3 linked regions of the Callithrix jacchus genome follow. The protein of the gene in region 2 interacts with the protein of the main gene of each other region in a pairwise test. Links are inferred from orthologs where the notes say so. Each region holds a gene or a part of one and is shown on either strand. Other genes may lie near its edges. The genes, in order: PTN, DNAJB11 and UBR1.

Region 1 (5,979 bases), on a different chromosome or scaffold from region 2:
TTAGTTACTATGACTCACTTTTTTCAAGATTAATATACATCAGTTGATTTTTTGTTATACTCTGTATGAAAAAAAATTTAAGAGTTCTATTTTTAGAAAGGATATGATTGTCTTTTCTATTTGAGATATCACTTTATCTAAACTCACTATGAAAAAGAGGCTCAATAAATAAAGCCCAAAAAATGAATTAAACTTTATTTCTAAAAGTGTCTCAAACATGAAGGAGTCACTGTATTCCCTGCCCACCCTGAAGAAATAGGGATTTGTGCTGAATGTGATCTACATAATTAAATCCAAAATATTACCATATTTATAATACCCTCTGATAATGTTTCATCATAGTTACCCTTCTAAACTTCTGTTTTAATTTCTTATTTACTAAATGCCAAAATAGAAAGAAAAGGAGGCTTGTTATATTTTACAGTCTAGAAATATTGTAATGACACCATGATAACTATGCCAAATACTAGGCTGGCTTAAAGTGGATGGAAAAATAGCCCAGCGAGTGGAAACTTCAATTGTCCATAAACACCAGAGCGAAAGACAACTTTCCTTGAGGCCATACTCCAAATTCCACTTAAGCCAATTGACTCTGGATGGAAAAAAGCAAGCCCAGCTCATAAAAAGAAGGTTCATACCTGAGTATTATTTTACCTCCCCTCCAACAGCAACGACATGACCTTGTGTAAGAAGGAGACAAATCTCTTCGATTACTCATTTAGAACAGAAGCCAGAGGAGAAAACATTCCTCACCCTTCTGGAGAAGCCCAACTCAACATCACTAGCAAAGCCACGGAACAAAGACCATTGGAGAGTTCCCACATAGCCTCATGCTCCTGAGAAAAGTTGACCTCAAACTGGGCTGAGATGCACTCAGGTGTGGAGCACATCTGAACTCTCATCACATTGGGTGGTCCAGTTTGGACACCTCCTTCAGGAGAGAAGTCAAGAACAACTCCCCTTATCATTATACCGCCATATTAAAAAACATAATTGTTTAGAGAAAGGGAATTCGTATCTGAATTCTGACTTCTGGCCCTCAATCTATTGTTAAATTTATCACATCATTATGAACAAGCCAACTAAACTCAGTTTCCTAGGATATTTTTGAATAGTAATTGAAAACACAATGTCACAAATAGGAATACGATTAGAATTCATGTGAGGATGTCATGTAGGTGAGAAAGCAAGGGTATTGTCAAAGAAAAAATAAAAGATTTAAAGTTAAAATATTTGACATCAAAGATTAATTTTATTGAATAAAAATGATTCAACTATCTGGAAATCTTATTTCTCTCTGTTGTTTTCCGTTGTTTCAGGTTTAAAATTTATAAAATTTTATAATTTTATATTTATAAAAGGGCCATTAGCTTTACTGAAATCTTTCAAAAAATGAAAATGCTCATTAAAAAGAAATGTAGGTCTTGCTACACATTGCTATATGTGAAGCCCAAATAAGGCACATGGAAAATGTCAATAAATTAGGAAGTTCATGATTCCAAATCTCATGATCTCATGAAAAGAAGTCTAAAAAAAACAGAGAATTATATATAATACATACAATACATTAGACTATAAATATAGTTAGGTATACTTTATTACTCTAATTCTCTGTAATATCTCATTTAAAGTCAGATAATTTAAAAGTCATGTATTAAATAGTACTTGTGTATATCTCAAGCTCTACCTTTGAGAACATAATGCATTTGCATCCAGAAGCAAACAGCTGGAACACAGCAACTAATAATGCTGTTACATGTGGCTTCAGATGGGAGTTCCTTATAGTGGCTTTTCACTAAATGAAGAAAAAGATGTCCCAAAGGGAATCAGTGAGCAGTGGCAGGAAAAAAGATCATCTTCTATGTATTTAGAGCACAATTAGAGAATTTAAGGCCCAAGTTTCTTAAAGCACAAAAGAATGGCATTAGAGTATTTTTGAAAAAATATATAATTTTTAAAAATCTCATCTAATTTAAATGAAAACGTATAAATATTGCCAGTCTGAAATAACTCATGTCCCAAAGGGAGAAAAAAAAAAGATAATATTCATTCTAATTTCCTCTGAATTTAACTGGACTACATATTCCTTAATGATTTGGCCTTTAAAATGCATAATTTACTTAAAAAGAAACATAATGAAGATGGAAAATACAAGCTTTATTTTCTGCGTTGGGAGACTTCTCTTTTGTTTCATTCTCATTACCTGTTAATATTTCTACATATCAATGCATTCCTAGATAATTAAGGGGCTAAAATGGGCTCTGCTGTTTCATCAATTCCATGTTTGCCTTGGATCATAAAATTGCTTCATTATGTTATTAGTTCAAAAGCTCTTTTTGGTAATTTACCAAGTCTTCTCCCAGATCCCTTACTCCAGTGCGCGCACGCGCACACACACACATACAGACACGCACGCACACACATACACCCCACCCCTTTCTCAAGCTGCTAAAGCAAAATGCTTGATAACTCTTAAAATGCTCAAGGATGGGAACTTTACTATTCTCTCCTCTTAGGACCCCCACCCCTCCTATTTTCTGAATGTATTCCCAAACTTACAAAGCAGCTCTTAATAGACACAAGGGTGAGTTAACAATAAAGCGGATCTATACGGCATGTATGTGTTCTTGTATGAGCGCGTGTGTGTTGTGTCGTGTTATGTCATGGAAAAAGGGGTGTGTGTGTGTATGGAGAAGAGAGAGAAGGCTTCACGTTCAGTCTATTAAGTAAGAAAGGAGTTGAATATATTCCTCTCAAAAAAATTTCATAACTTATTAGAAACATCAACTTAGAAACTCTCAATATCTAGTCGATTAGTAACAAATACACCCTAGGTTCATATGGGTCAAATTAAAAGTTTAAGGGTCTATGTACAGGGCAGTTCTTTATATGGGACTCAGGGGGCATCTTCTAAGCTTTGGGTCTAACCATTTCTGGAACCATTCCTGGGCTGTCAGGTGGGAATAAGGGTGCCAGTGGTTCTGTGAGAGACGTTCCATGTCAGCTAGCATTGGGAGGAACAAGCCCCCACAGTTTACCTAGAAATGCCAGCTAAGAGTCATGGGCTGGCCGGCCCTGGGGCAATCAGAGAATCAGAGAGAGGATTGGAAAATGAGAGCTGCTTGTTCAGGCTGCCTTACTTTCTCTTCAACTACCCAGCCACAGACACACCTACTAAAGCTCCCGGTTTTACAAAAAGCAAAGATGCACTCTCCCGCCCTGGCCTGCTCTCCAGCTGGCAGCTGGAACAGGGTCCAAATGCACGCTTAACATCACAAAAACTTCTCACACTTACCTAAGCACTCCCTGACGAACCTAACCTCACTCCCCCAAAATATGCCTCCCTTCGTCCCTGAAGCAAGTCAGTTTTGAAAGCGGTCCTATCAGCAACGACACCAGGCAGCCTCTCTCACTCCTACCACCATCATCGGCTGGCACCCAGAAAAGTGGCACAGGGTGAAGGCAAACTCGAAGAGCCCTCCGAGAAATCGTGCGTTCTTCTCACTTACTTTGAGTTGCAAATGTCCGCTCTGGCGCTCAGGCTGCCTTTGTTGCGAGGGGCGAGGTTGCTACTGCCGAGTCCAGGTATGGGCGGCTCGCTGCAGCTCTGGGTGGCTGCGGCTCTCCACGCCTTCTGGACGGATGAGTCACTGGTCTCTTTCTTCCCCTCTCCCCACTTTGGATTTTCCTCTGCTCTGGGGCTCTCTTGGCGGGATTTTTGGACTGGAAGGCGGGGAACCTGATCCTGCCTTTGACTCAATTACGCCCCAACAGGGAGGGAACGGAAGGGAAATGGAGAATGGGAGTGATGAGAGGAGCGGGCCAGGAGGACGCAGGCTGGGCGAGGGAGGGAGAGCGCTTTGCGCTCCAGAGCTGATTGGGAAGCTTATTAAAAGCAGAATACTCCAGGGGCAGTCTCTCCCCATGGAGCAAGAAAAGGGATTTGAACTAAGAGGCCAGGAGATGGCATTTTGTTTTGTTTTTAGCAGAGACCAAACACAGTATTTCTCTTCCAAACTCCATGCATTATCAAGTCTTCAGATGGTGCAAAGCCACTTTGCCAACTGGGATATTTTAAATGAACAATTGACTGCATTTTAGGTTACAGTTTTGGCCCCACACAATTCTTTAATGATATTCAGGATGAAAAAGCACTCTCGCTGGGCGCGGTGGCTCAAGCCTGTAATCCCAGCACTTTGGGAGGCTGAGGCGGGTGGATCACAAGGTCAAGAAATCGAGACCATCCTGGTCAACATGGTGAAACCCCGTCTCTACTAAAAATACAACAAATTAGCTGGGCATGGTGGCACGTGCCTGTAATCCCAGCTACTCAGGAGGCTGAGGCAGGAGAATTGACTGAACCCAGGAGGTGGAGGTTGCAGTGAGCCGAGATCGCGCCATTGCACTCCAGCCTGGGTAACAAGAGGGAAAGTCTGTCTAAAAAAAAAAAAAAAAAAAAAAAATAGAAAAAGCATTCTCTTCAAACCAGCCTCTTCTTTCCCACCCGCCAAAGCCCTCCCTATACACAGAGGCAGTTACCCAGCTGTGAGTCACATCTCATCTGCAAAGCACAAAATGTACAAAGTACTTTTTCTCGATTGTCACAAAGAGTGACAGACGTCTGAAAACTCCCAATTAAGTACTACTTACCTTTAGGGAGAGCTCTCTCCTTTTTTGGTTTCCTTGGTGCCTTTAGTGACCTATTTAGTAACATGCCTTTGACACCCAAGAATTTAGAGGATGTGTCAATGTAGCTCAAATGCTGAGGTTTGTAAAAGTTGGAGGCTGGGCTTTGTGTCTCTCTGAAATTTTCATTTCATTCAGTTGAGGAAAGATGCTAAGTCAATGCAGAGGTAAGTATTCATGATACAGATGAGATACAAGTATTGTATTAAGATTAAGATGCATTACACAAATTTACCCAAACATTTTCAAAATGTAAATCTCGAGATTTTCTGCTACTTACCAGCTTTTCCTGCTCCTTGGCTAGTTCCTTTCACTTACTTTTACCGCTCAGCTTATCATTTGATGGTGTCCTCCCAAATTGATAGTAAAATAGACTTGCATTTTTCATAGTTCTGAGGTTACATCCCTTCGTTTCAATTTGACAAATATTTATTAAGCAACTTATTTACTTAGAGCTATCCCCAAACCCCTAAATTAGAAGCATTGTGGTGGCAAGTAGTTTTTAGGGATTTGGGGATCTTATATTGACTGCTACCTGGAGAAATATCCCATGGAGGAGTCAGCTGGAACCAAAGAGGTAGCTCTATAAATTTAATCAAGTAGTCAAACTATTCAAAAGAAATGGCATCAGACATGCACTTACACACTTACAGCTTATCCCCCTTCCCAAACTCTTCATACACATACCATAAACAATTCTCAAATGAAATAACTAAATAAGGAAGCTGTGTTCCTTTCTCCTACACACAGGCCTCAAGTTACCTATTTTCCTTTTGTAATTCCACTTCCCCATGAAGCAAGCAGTGTTTGTTTTAATCAGATTTCATTTGTATAAAGTGTGGAGGAATGCACATTATCATTTTTATTAGCGTTTTCCCCGGTCCCTTTACTGAAAAAGATGTCTCAGCATTTTGTTAACAGGAGCAAAATTTCCAAGCCATTGAACAAAGAGTTATCCATTTTCTTTCTGTTCTTCAGCTTTATCTTAACATATACAAATGTAACATACTGCTGCTACCAGTTAGGTGAACAATGCTGACTTGATTGAGGTGCTCTCTATAGGGTTGACAAAGTAAGCATGAGATTCCCATGATTTCTACTCAATTACATATGTTATATCAGAAATATCACCCTTTATTCAGATAGGGATATACTAAAATTGCATACATCAGTGGTTATCCATTGGGAGCAATTTTGCCCTCCAGGAAAAGTGAATAATGTCTGGAGGTAGTTTTAGTTGTCACAGCTTGGGGGAAGGGGTTGCTCTGGCATCTAGTACATAGAGGCCAGGGA
Region 2 (6,250 bases):
TTAATGCGTAATTCCCCTTTGATCTGCCCTGAGAGGACCATCCAGCACAAAGTTTACATGAGCAAACAGAGTAGAGACAAAGGGATGTGGGGTAAACAGACTTAACTGGGAAAGCTTCTTACTGTCTCTGTCTTTTCCCTAATCTAATGTAAATGAACTGGCTGCCTTCAGCCTGTCCCAATAAAACCTTTCAGTCTTCCAAAAGGTTTGAGATGATAATCCCTATAACTTTCCCTAATATTTCCCTAATTATTTTGCCAGCCACCCCAAGTGAATCTCCACACAAAAATACTTCCACACCTACTCCATGCCAGGCAGTGTTCTAAGTTACTGTTTCATACAGCTGTGAACAGAACAATATAGATTCATGCTCTCATGAAACTGGCATTTCAGTATGTAAGTCTAGGGTCCAGGGATTAAAAAAATAAAATAAAATTGGAGGCCGGGCATAGTGACTTATGCCTGTAATCCCAGCAATTTGGGAAGCAAGGCAGGTGGATCACTTAAGGTCAGGAGATCGAGACCAACCTGGTCAACATGGTGAAACCCTGTCTCTACTAAAAATACAAAATTAGACATGTATAGTAGCACGTGCCTGTAGGCCCTGCTACTTGGGAGGCTGAGGCAGGGGAATCACTTGAACCTGGGAGGTAGAGGTTGCAGTGAACCGAGATTGTGACACTGCACCCCAGCCTGGGCAACAGAGTGAGACTCTGTCTCAGGAAAAAAAAGAAAACAGGATGGTGTAAGAGTAAGAAACTCAGTAGGGGCTAATTTTGAATGATTGGTCAGGGAAGTCTTCCCTGAGGTGGTGGCATTTAAGCTGATTTATGAGTTGAAGAAGGAATCACCTGTGTCAGGACATGAGGGAGAGTACAGTGTTTCAGGTAAAGGGCATAGCTAGCACAGAGGCCCTCAGCAGGTGTATGCAAAAAAGAAAGGAAGCAAGTTTTGCTGGACCATGGTCAGGAGTATAATAGGTGAGAGGGAGTACAAAGCATAAACAGCTTTGTAAACTAGCATTAAGTTGGGATTTTATTCTAAATGCAAAGGAAGAGTCATTCCAGGATTTTAAGCAGGGGAGTGACATGATTTGACTTTTATTTTTATTTATTTTATTTTGAAATGGAGTCTAACTGTTGCCCAGACTGGAGTGCAGTGGTGCGATCTCCACTCACTGCAACCTCCACCTCCCAAATTCAAGGGATTCTCCTGCCTCAGTCTCCCGAGTAGCTGGGATTACAGGCGCCCGCCACCACACTCAGCTAATTTTTGTATTTTTAGTGAGACAGGGCTTCATCATTTTGGTCAGGCTGGTCTTGAGCTCCTGACCTCAGGTGATCCGCCTGCCTCGGTCTCCCAGTGTGCTGAGATTACCGGTCTTTTTTTTTTTTTAATTATGGAGTGGGGGACAGGATGAGCAACATCTATTAAGGTATTAAGGAAGATATTAAGAGTAGGGGCAGACAGAACAGTTAGGAGACCCTGGCCAGGTGAGAGATACTCTGTGATCCAGAGACCCCGTAATGGAGATATAGTGGACAGATTCAAGTATAGTTCAGGGGTAAAGATTTGGATAGCTTATACATGAAAGGAATAAAAACACCGAGAGTTTTGTCCTGATCAACTAGGTGTTGTGTAACTGTGATGAGTAAAATTCGGGGAAGAGGGGGAATCAACTGCTTGAACTGTAATAATGGTTTTTATTCATTGCCTGCTTACCATGTGCCCAACGATTTACAGATATTTTTTCCCTGTAAAAATTCCCTGTAAAAAACAGCACTGCCAATAAGTACTTTGCCTTAGTTTTGCTGATAAAAAAAACTTAGGCTCAGACTCGGGAGGAGAAGAGGGATAGGGGAGTCTCACCTCTAAGTGGTGGAAGCTTAATCCTATCGTCACGGTCGGCTTTCCGAGACGGTTGCCTTAAGGAGTTGCTTGGAGAACGTAAAATAAGAGTCCGAAGCAATGCGTCCGATGTACAGCAGTCGTGGAATAACTGTACCGGCCCATTCTGCCGCTATACCTCTGCTCCCGCTTTCGGCGCGAAGCTGGATATGAATGAAATTCCATACTTGTAACAGAGAGAAAACTTTTCTCCCGCAATTGGTCAGTGCTGGGGAGGAGCCTCCTGATTGGTGAGAAGCCCGAGGAAGTAGGCGAGCCGGAGGGGATTTCTTGTACCTCAGGGGGCCCCCTCGGTCGACCCCGCCCCCTACTTACGTAATTTTCTACGACTCGGGGTAGCTCGGGCAGAGCCGGTTCCTGCAGCGGCGCAATCCTCTGACATCTCTTCTTCTAATTGGTCGGGAGCTGCGACTGCAATTCTGAAGCCTAACTGGCTGCCCTTGCCGCCTCGGAGGTGAAGTGTACTGCGCTGATTGGCTTCCAGGCGCCGGCCGCGTGTGATGTCCGGGGCAACGATTGGCTCTCGCCTGCTGGGGACTTCTCTCACTGGGACTCGGGACTCCCGGGAAGTGGACTGGTAGAGGACGGGGCTAGCTAGCTGTCTCTTCGGACCAAGGAGGAGACCCACCCCCCCGCGCCCTCCGGTGTGAGGCGGCCTCCCAGGGCCGGGTGGGCTGGCGAGCCGACGCGGCTGCGGCGGCGGAGGAGGAGGCTGTGAGGAGTGTGTGGTACACGACCCGGGACAGAGGAACCATGGCTCCGCAGAACCTGAGCACCTTTTGCCTGTTGCTGCTGTACCTCATCGGGGCCGTGATTGCCGGGTGAGGAGTAGACACGGGGCCGGTGGGTCAGCCTTTGCTGGGGGTGGGAGGGAGTGGGGGATGTGGCATTGCCAGACTGAGGGAGTGGAGAGGGGCATCGCTGTGGGGTGACGGGATGACTGAGGAAGGGGTAGTATGGGCCTGGCTAGTGGGGTGAGAGGAGAACCGTGGGTGACACCAGTGAGAGGGCTTTACGTCTAGAGAGGGCCTTAGGTAGAGCTAGATTTGCCCAGAGGAGTGGGAGTTGGATGAATTGCCAAATGGCATTTGGGGGATGAGGAGAGTTTGAGGGCAAGAAGGTGGTTGTGAGCTGAAGCAGTGTCACGTAGAGCTGGGGAAGAAAGAGGGGTGACTGACTGTATGGCAAGGTAATGACAGTGTCAGGCTGAGGTTGGGGGGATGGACGTTTTGTTTGATCGAAGAGGTGGGTTGCTGTGCCCCGCTGAGCTGGAGAAGCGGATGATACTCTATGCCAAGCCTGCAACGAGTCACTGGGGGGCCGACATTAAAGTGGGTGGATAATGCCAGATCGAGTTGGAACTGAACAAAATCGGATGGGGGAGGGGAGCAAGAAGACCCTTGGAGAGCCCTTGTACTTCCCAGCTTCTTGAGCTATGTATTATCTTCGGTTGCTTCATCTTTAAAGTTCTGGCAGTGCTACTGTTAGAACATTTAAGTGGCATAATCTTTTTAAATAAGGAAAGTCATCCTTTGAGAATGTTATTTGACTTTTAGAAAAGTCAAAAGTCATTTGGAGCCAGTATAGGGAAAGGGAGGAAGAGTTCATTTGACTATATGATTATTGCCTAAAAATAACATGAGACCGTAAAATAAGGAAGCGGTTTTCTTGATTGAAGGTGGCTCTAAAAGAAGAGTTCCACAGATGTTTTGAATAATCTAAAAAGAAGTATGTAGCCTCTTACTGTGATTACATCAATATATAATATTCATTACAAATTCTGGTGTTGTCTTTTTAGTCATACTTTGTGTGTGTATGTGTCGCATAACCCATTTTTGTATTTCTTTGCTCGGATACAAACCCAAATGTAGGGGAAAAATTTTTTTTGCTTTTAAAAATCTAACAGATAACTCTTTAATGAAGTATTCTCTCCCTCTACTTCCCAGGCGAGATTTCTATAAGATCTTGGGGGTGCCTCGAAGTGCCTCTATAAAGGACATTAAAAAAGCCTATAGGAAACTGGCCCTGCAGCTTCATCCTGACCGGAACCCTGATGATCCACAAGCCCAGGAGAAATTCCAGGATCTGGGTGCTGCTTATGAGGTGAGTCCTAAAAAATGATAAAGTATGAATAAAATCTGTAGGTGTAGAAAAAGCATTTACTACAGAGAAACACTCCTTTCAGTTCACTTTTATTTATTATTATTGTTGTTATTATTTTGGGGGGGGACTAAGTCTTGCTCTATTGCCCAGGCTGGAGTGCAGTGGCACATCTCCACTCGCTGAAACCCCCGCCTCCTGGGTTCAAGCAATTCTCCTGCCCAGCCTCCCGAGTAGCTGGGATTACAGGCGCACGCACCACACCCAGCTAATTTTTCTATTTTTAGTAGAGACAGGGTTTCACCATGTTGGCCAGGCTGGTCTCAAACTTCTGACCTCAAGTGATCTGCCCACCTTCTTAGCCTCCCAAAGTGCTAAGATTACAGGCATGAGCCACTGCACCCAGCCAAGGTCACTTTTATTTAAAAACTAAACAGTAGATAAAAGTAAAAGTAGTACTTGATGCTGTATTGTATTAGATATTAAATTCACATTAGTAGATGCCATTTTCTTCCTTTTTATATTAATATTCCAGAATAATGTTGAAAAAGAATAAATGACAGATGATAGATTAATAAGTAGATCAACTGGTCTATCAGTCAGTTTGGGAGCTAGAGCCAAGAATAAAAAGAAAACCTTCATGAGAGTTGCAAGCCTTAAATGACCATATGAACTAGACAAATGACATGCAAGGCAGATATAAATTAAAACATGGCAGCAGATATTCTGCCTCTGTATTGGGAAGCAATAAGGATTGCTGAGGACTTTGACAAACTGAAGGCTCCTTGCCCTATTTCAAGGGGACAGTTGTTACTCAACCCCAAACAATTTTTGTCATATAAATGCAAATAGTATTTTCCTAGATGATTTAATTTTTCAAGAAAAGTTGAAAATCTAGATTTTTATATAAATTCTGCTTGTGAAAACTAATTCAGTTAAATTTCTTTTTTACATAGATCAACAAAGCACAGTTTTAATTTGATTTTGCAACCTCTAATCTGGGGGTCAAAACACTTTCATGTGTATCATCTCATTTAATCTTTACTAGGACACCAGGAAATATAGTAGAGCTAGGCATATTTTCTTATTTTTTAAATGGACACAGAAGAAAATTAATTGAACTAAAAGTCACAGAGCTAAAACTCCCAAATTTAAGTTAAAATTCTTGTATATTGAGAAGGCTAGAAACAAATTGAAAAATATTTTAGGAAGACACAAATCTCAAAAGAAAGGAATCCCAAGACCTCTTAGATTAAAGAAGCAATGGAAATGAAACAGTGACTTATACCCAGGTGAATCCAAGAGCTCTTGGGGTCCTTCTTCTTTCAACACCTGCAGGGATCCTATGGGACAGAAATTCTTAACCTGAGGCACGTGAATAAACTTGAAAAGGTTGATGGCCCATCCTAAATTATATGTAACATTTTGTTTCTTGTTTATAATATGGATTCCATATTTTGCACTGAATGTTCCATGAATAGTCCCTTGTTTGCCAGGGACCCAATACTCAAAAACATTTTCTAAGGAAGCTGAATTTACCATGCTGTCTAAAAAATCTACATGTTCTTTATGACGTAGGCAAGCTATACAAAGGTCAGTCATGAAATTACAATTTATTTAACTATTAACCCTTGAAATTTCTTTTTTCTTTTTATCATTCAAGCTTGATTGCCTTTAGTCTTAGGTAAATTAGTGTTCACGAATTAGAATCCGAGTACAGTTATGAAGATTCTTTTATGAATACAAATTTGTTTTCTCTACAGAGCTAGGATTACTGCTGGCATTTTAAGTACTTAGGAATCTGTGTATTGGTTGCCAATCAACTAAAACCCTTTTTTCTTTTAAAATAGTTTCCAAGACCATGGAGTAAAATTACATTCCTTGATGGAAGAAAAGTGAGGAGGAAGTGAATGATAATAAATGACTTCCAGAGTAGTTTTTAGGAGATTATTACAGAAGCCTCTGATGTCTAAAAAGAAACTGAGTCTTTGGGGGTTTTAAATGGTGTTTTTTGTAGTCTCATATGCAGGGTTCATTTCTTTGCAAGATAAGATCAGGGAAGTAGACGAAAAGTGAAAACTCTGGAGATCCAGATAATAATAAGAGGGTTTCTTAATCTTTTTTTTAAGTTAACTATGCCCATGTTTGCTTCCCCCAAGTACCTGTTTTCTAATTACATTCTTTTCTCTCCCTTTTCCTCTTACATGGCTTTAATCAAGTACCGTGCTCGCTTCTGGAATGA
Region 3 (6,125 bases), on a different chromosome or scaffold from region 2:
GTCCACTTATATGCAGACTTTTTTTTCAACCAAATGAGGATCAAAAATACAATGTTCAGGCCAAGTGTGGTGGCTCACACCTGTAATCCTAGCACTTTGGAAGGCCAAGGTGGGCAGATCACCTGAGGTCAGGAGTTAGAGACCAGCGTGGCCCACATGGTGAAACCCCGTTTCTACTACAAATACAAAATGTAGGCAGGTGTGGTTGCACATGTCTGTAATCCCAGTTACTCGGGAGGCTGAAGCAGGAGAATAGCTTGAACCTGGGAGGTGGAGGTTTCAGTGAGCCAAGACATGACCACTGCACTCCAGCCCAGGTGACATAGCCAGACTCCATCTCCATCAGCTTATTCCTAGCTCAGATCTGTCATTCCCGTCATCTCTCAAATCCTCCATACTTTTGTTTTGTTATCTGCCTCCTGAGTTCCTAGACTTCCCTCTGTTGTGAGATCACCCGTTCCCACATACAGACCTTCATGTTTAGGCCATCAATTATTTATCTCCTTGAAATATGTTAACAGAATAGCTCAAGTATAATTCAATTACATTAAAATTCCTCTGACCCAACAAAATACTACTGCATCTACGAGCATCTCTGAGGAGCAAGAAAATTGAGGTTCAGAGATCATGACTTGACTTTGTAAGGAAGTAGTAAAATCAGGACTTTAAACCCAGAACTTTGGAAAGCCCGGGTGGGTGAATCATAAGGTCAGGAGTTCGAGACCAGCCTGGCCAACATGGTGAAACTGTCTGTACTAAAAAAATACAAAAATAGGCTGGGCGTGGTGGCTCAAGCCTATAATCCCAGCACTTTGGGAGGCCGAGGAGGGTGGATCACGAGATCAAGAGATCGAGACCATCCTGGTCAACGTGGTGAAACCCTGTCTCTACTAAAAATACAGAAATTAGCTGGGCATGGTGGCGTGTGCCTGTAATCCCAGCTACTCGGGAGACTGAGGCAGGAGAATTGCTTGAACCCAGGAGGCGGAGGTTGCGGTGAGCCGAGATCGCGCCATTGCACTTCAGCCTGGGTAACAAGAGAGAAACTCCGTCTCAAAAAAAAAAAAACAAAAAAAAAACAAAGATAAGCCGGATATGGTGGCTTGTGCCTGTAATCCCAATTACTCGGGTGGCTGAGGCAGAATTGCTTGTGCTGGGGAGACTGGGATTGCAGTGAGCCGAGATCACGCCACTGCACTCCAGCCTGGGCTGACAGAGCAAGACTCCATATCAAAAAAATAAAAAAATAAAATAGGGCCGGACGCGGTGGCTCAAACCTGTAATCCCAGCACTTGGGGAGGCCGAGGCGGGTGGATCACAAGGTCAAGAGATCGAGACCATCCTGGTCAACATGGTGAAACTCCGTCTACTAAAAATACAAAAATTAGCTGGGCATGGTGAGGCGTGCCTGTAATCCCAGCTACTCAGGAGGCTGAGGCAGGAGAATTGCCTGAACCCAGGAGGCGGAGGTTGCGGTGAGCCGAGATTGCGCCATTGCACTCCAGCCTGGGTAGCAAGAGCGAAACTCCGTCTCAAAAAAACAAAAAATATATATTTACACACACACACACGTATATAATATCTATTTCTATATAACAAATATGTATATATAAAATATACATTAACTTTTTTTTGAGACAGAGTATTTTGCTCTTGTTGCCCAGGCTGGAGTGCAATGGCACGATCTCAGCTCACTGCAACCACCGCCTCCCAGGTTCAAGCAATTCTCCTGCCTCAGCCTCCCGAGTGGCTGGGATTTCAGGAATGCGCCACGATGCCCAGCTAATTTTGTAGTTTTAGTAGGGACGGGGTTTCACCATGTTAAGGCTGGTCTCAAACTCCCGACCTCTGGTGATCCGTCTGCCTCAGTCCCCCAAAGTGCTGGGATTACAGGCGTGAGCCACCGCGCCCGGCCACATATACTTTTAAATTATTTGTTTGGTAAACAATTTAAAATACAGATGAAGCTAAAGTAGTTCTTGACCACCTTCTTGCTCCAATCCGAATCCTGGCCCTCAGTTACCACTTGGCTCTTTCCCCTTTCAGAGTTATTCCTTCACATCTAAATGCATATGTGTGCAAATATATAGTTTTCGGCAACTTGGCCTTTTTCTCTCACTTAATTTACCTTTTCACTTAGATTTATCTTGCTCAAAGCTGCACGGTATTTCAAAATGCGGGAGTACCATAGTGTATCTTGTCTTTCCTCTAGCGATGAATGACTAGGTTTCCAATTTTTTGTTATTTCCCCTCCGTGCCCCCCAATAAAGCTGGATCCTGAGCTTTTTTTGTACGCATGTGCAAGTGCCTACGGGGTAGACTCCTAAAAATGGAAGATGTGTGAGTACTTTCTTTTGTATTTCGTAGGTTCTGGGGAACACTGCAGGGAGGTCGGGATACAAAACATGCCCAGGCTAACAACCGGCGAGCTAGGATAGCTCCTGACAGTTTTCTTCCTTTCATAATGGACGCTGAATTTGTTGTTGTTTTTTACTTCGTAGATGCAACAGTTCTCAGCACCAAACGCTATGCCTGATAAATTAGAGGGAAAAATACCCTCCAGTCCCTTCATGTTGTGACGCTTGCTTCCGGGAAGCGGGCCGGAAGCCGGTCCTCGATTCTGCGTGAAACCCGACTTCAGGGGCCGTCGTAAAAGTGTCGTTCCCGTCTCTCCGACCAGCCACAGGTTTCCGCTTGCTTCTGGCCAGGGGGGTCAGCAACTGTAGGCGTCAGTTTCCCTCAAGATGGCGGACGAAGAGGCTAGAGGTGCGGAAAGAATGGAAATCTGCTCGGAGTTACCCCAGACCCCTCAGCGTCTGGCAGCTGTAAGTCCCTATAGGCAAGTCTCTTTTGTCCTCCCCCAATCCCTCCCTACTGCGCTCAGGAGAATGTGGAGCTTCACCCCTTATGGCGGCTCTGGGGAGGGGAAGTTATATGGATTGATCTGGAAGGAAGCCACCGAATAAAAAGTTAGTCGCAACCCACGTTTCTGCCAGCCAAGTCTACGGAATATTATGACTTTGTTATGTATTATTCTTGTTGTTCTCAAGCATGCACGTCTCTATTTTGAAGTAGAAAGAACCGGTGATGTTATTAGACGGTTTGATATGGGGGCTGAGGTGGTGGAGTTGGAGCAAGAGCCATTTTCGTATAGAAGCAGTGCTAACCCCTCTTGATGATGGGAACGCAGCATCTGGTATTGTATTGCACAGCCGGCTGACCGGGACGTGATAATGGTAGTGAGTGCTGCCACTGTCAAGTCATGTCAAGATGTTATGTGCAGGAATTGTCCTTCTATATAGCATCTTGAGAACCCCAGGCCTAACCTTCTGTGGAGAAACCCATCATCTGTCGCTGCTTTTTAAAAGTGAAGAAGGGACGCCCAAACATTTCAAGCCAGAGCAATACCATTAATTAATATCGGAATCTATACTTTGCTCCAGCAGTTTGAAAGAATGGGAAGGCAGAGATAGTGAACAAATTTGAGTGAGTAGCTACAGGGAGAAAGCTGACAGAGGAAGATAAGAGGTAGAGGGCAATGTTAGGGAATGTTCTGGATGCCTAGGGCATCTAGTGGGGAGATATTTAGAAAATATTCAAATATCTATCACTGCATAATGTTTTATTAGTTTGTTTTTCTAAGTAGCAGCAGTTAGAAAATTGGGATATACACTTTTTTTTCTGAAGTTTCTTGGGTTTGCAGTGTAATGGAAACTTTTTTTTTTTGAGAAGGAGTTTCACTCTTGTTGCCCAGGCTCGAGGACAGTGGCGCAATCTCAGCTCACTTCAATTCAGGCGATTCTCCTGCCTCAGCTTCCAGAGTAGCTGGGATTACAGGCGCCTACCCCCACACCCAGTTAAATTTTTTTGTATTTTTAGTAGAGACGTGGTGTCACCATGTTGGCCAGGCTGATCTCTAACTCCTGACCTCAGGTGATCCACCTGCCTTGGCGACCCAAAATATTGGGATTACAGTGTAAGCCACCGCAGCTGGCCTAATAAAAGCATTTGTTTTAATCTTGCAGACAATTGAGCATTGTTTTATTAAGGACAGAGGGAACTACAGAATGAGTCAACTCCAGGGACTGATGAGACTGGCTAGGTGGTAGGAATCAAGTAGGAAGGGAGTTGGAAAAAGGATTTGGTCACTGACTGTGTTAGTGCTTGTAGTTTTCCTCCACCCCAAATAGCGGTTCAAATTCACTTCACTACTGGCAGTAAAGGAGGAAGCGTCTATTTGAGATGATAAGGAATGAGGAGGTGGGACAAGTTCAGAAGCAGCTGAAACATCTTAATGGTAATTTGTGGGTTAGAAGGAGTGGGGAAACTCTGCTGTGGTCAGAAAAATTATTAGTTTTGTATCCGAAGATTAATATTTATTTAAAGCTTTGATACATTAATTTTTTCCAGGTAGTACAGTAAAACTCTATCATTCTGGACACCACTCATTTGGAATTGAGACAATGATACAGGAATTGAGATAGAATTTATTTGGCAAACTTCACCTCAGGAAATATTATTAGATTTTGTTGGGCAAGGCTTTAGGTTTTGCAAAGTAGTAGGTAGATTGTGTAATATAGCCCCAAGGAACTCAGCCCCAAGGAACTCACAGTCTGGTGACACAGCTAATATAAGTGCCCAAAGAATTTTAATTCAAGGTAAAGTACTGTCAGTAGACAAGACCTTTAACTGTTACGCTTCATAACCACTTTTTTGGCTTGGCTCTCTCTACCTACTGAAGATCCTACAGCTCATTATACCTTTCTCTCTCTGTTTCTCAAGCTACTACTGACTTTAATTTTATTTCAGCCATGGCGTGACACTGGCTTCCCAGTTTACTACTTTGGTGTTAAGCAACATGAGCTCAGTTGTCCCCCCTACTCCTTATTGCTTATCTTTAGACAAAGGTAAATGGTATGGGACATTTATAGAGGTTTAAGCAATTGAACAGTTTCTATTAGAGTCTAATTCCTGGTTATAGTTTTTGATTTCCTTTAAACTTCCTTCTTAGTCTGCAGGTCCTTTTTCATTCATATTGCTATTGGTAAGCATGAAGGCTGTAATATTCCTAACATTATCTCACATGCAATTCACGTAAAATAATAGGTATGAATTTGCAGATATTTATAAAAGCCATTGCTTAAGAATCACCAGAGGAACTGATACCATAGGTCTGAGAATCTGCATTTTCACAAGCATGCCCTGCTGATTCTGAAATAGTGGTCCAGGGCCACACTTTCAGTAACACTTAGCTAGGTATTTGGAAGTTATCAGTAAATTATTGACAGTTGAGTTGTGGGAATGGGTAACATATTTTTTTTGAGACAGGGTCTCACTTTATCACCCAGGCTAGAGTGCAGTGGCACAAATGTAACTCTCTGTAGCCTCAGCCTCTTGGGCTCAGGTGATCCTCCCACCTCAGCCTCCTAAGTGGCTGAGAATATAGGTACGGGCCACCATGCCCTGCTAATTTTTTGCATTTTTTATAGAGACAGGGTTTTGTTTTATTTATTTATTTTAAGACAGAGTCTCACTCTACCACCCAGGCTGGAGTACAGTGGCACTATCTTAGCTCACTGCAACCTCCACCTCCTGGGTTCAAGCAATTCTCATGCCTCAGCTTCCCAGGTAGCTGGAGTTACAGGTGTGCGCCACCATGCCTAGCTAATTTTTGTATTTTTAGTAGAGACAGGATTTTGCCATGTGGCCAGACTGGTTTCAAGCCCCGATCTCAAGTGATCCATCTGCCTTGGCCTCCCAAAGTGGTGGGATTACAAGTGTGAGCCACTATACCCAGCCTGGATAAAATCTTTCAGGAGGAAAATGTGTGCATATGTAGACACACACATACAGAGGAAAATAGAGTGTGTGAGAGAGACGATGAGAGAACAGGAATGATTGAAATGGGTAGAAAATGGAAGAACTGGAACGTGGAAACAGAACAGGCAAGCTGGTAAGAGGTGAGAGTAGTGCAATGGCAGGGGTAATGTTTTGAGGAGAGGGTGGTGGTTTATTGTGTCCATGATGTTGAGGACTGAGAAAAATTGCGAATCAAGAGTGTTGGTGGGTAGTTTGCCAGAACTTCTTTCTGCCTTCTGTCTTCCTTAACTAGATTTTCTTAAGTC

The links.
Region 1: the proteins of DNAJB11 (region 2) and PTN interact in a two-hybrid assay, tested with the Homo sapiens proteins (2 studies listed by BioGRID and IntAct). The link is inferred for Callithrix jacchus from reciprocal best matches to the Homo sapiens genes DNAJB11 and PTN.
Region 3: the proteins of DNAJB11 (region 2) and UBR1 interact in a two-hybrid assay, tested with the Homo sapiens proteins (2 studies listed by BioGRID and IntAct). The link is inferred for Callithrix jacchus from reciprocal best matches to the Homo sapiens genes DNAJB11 and UBR1.

Annotation. Positions count from the first base shown.
Region 1 is NC_133512.1:109,977,654-109,983,632, reverse strand, and holds the start of PTN (pleiotrophin), read right to left. Parts: upstream 3,698-5,979; 5' UTR 3,510-3,697; intron 1-3,509.
Region 2 is NC_133516.1:15,552,770-15,559,019, forward strand, and holds the start of DNAJB11 (dnaJ homolog subfamily B member 11), read left to right. Parts: upstream 1-2,437; 5' UTR 2,438-2,661; coding exon 2,662-2,729; intron 2,730-3,854; coding exon 3,855-4,011; intron 4,012-6,250. UniProt on the Homo sapiens protein: As a co-chaperone for HSPA5 it is required for proper folding, trafficking or degradation of proteins.
Region 3 is NC_133509.1:30,853,111-30,859,235, reverse strand, and holds the start of UBR1 (E3 ubiquitin-protein ligase UBR1), read left to right. Parts: upstream 1-2,731; 5' UTR 2,732-2,744; coding exon 2,745-2,825; exon of another isoform or gene 2,826-2,839; intron 2,840-6,125. UniProt on the Homo sapiens protein: E3 ubiquitin-protein ligase which is a component of the N-end rule pathway. Recognizes and binds proteins bearing specific N-terminal residues that are destabilizing according to the N-end rule, leading to their ubiquitination and subsequent degradation.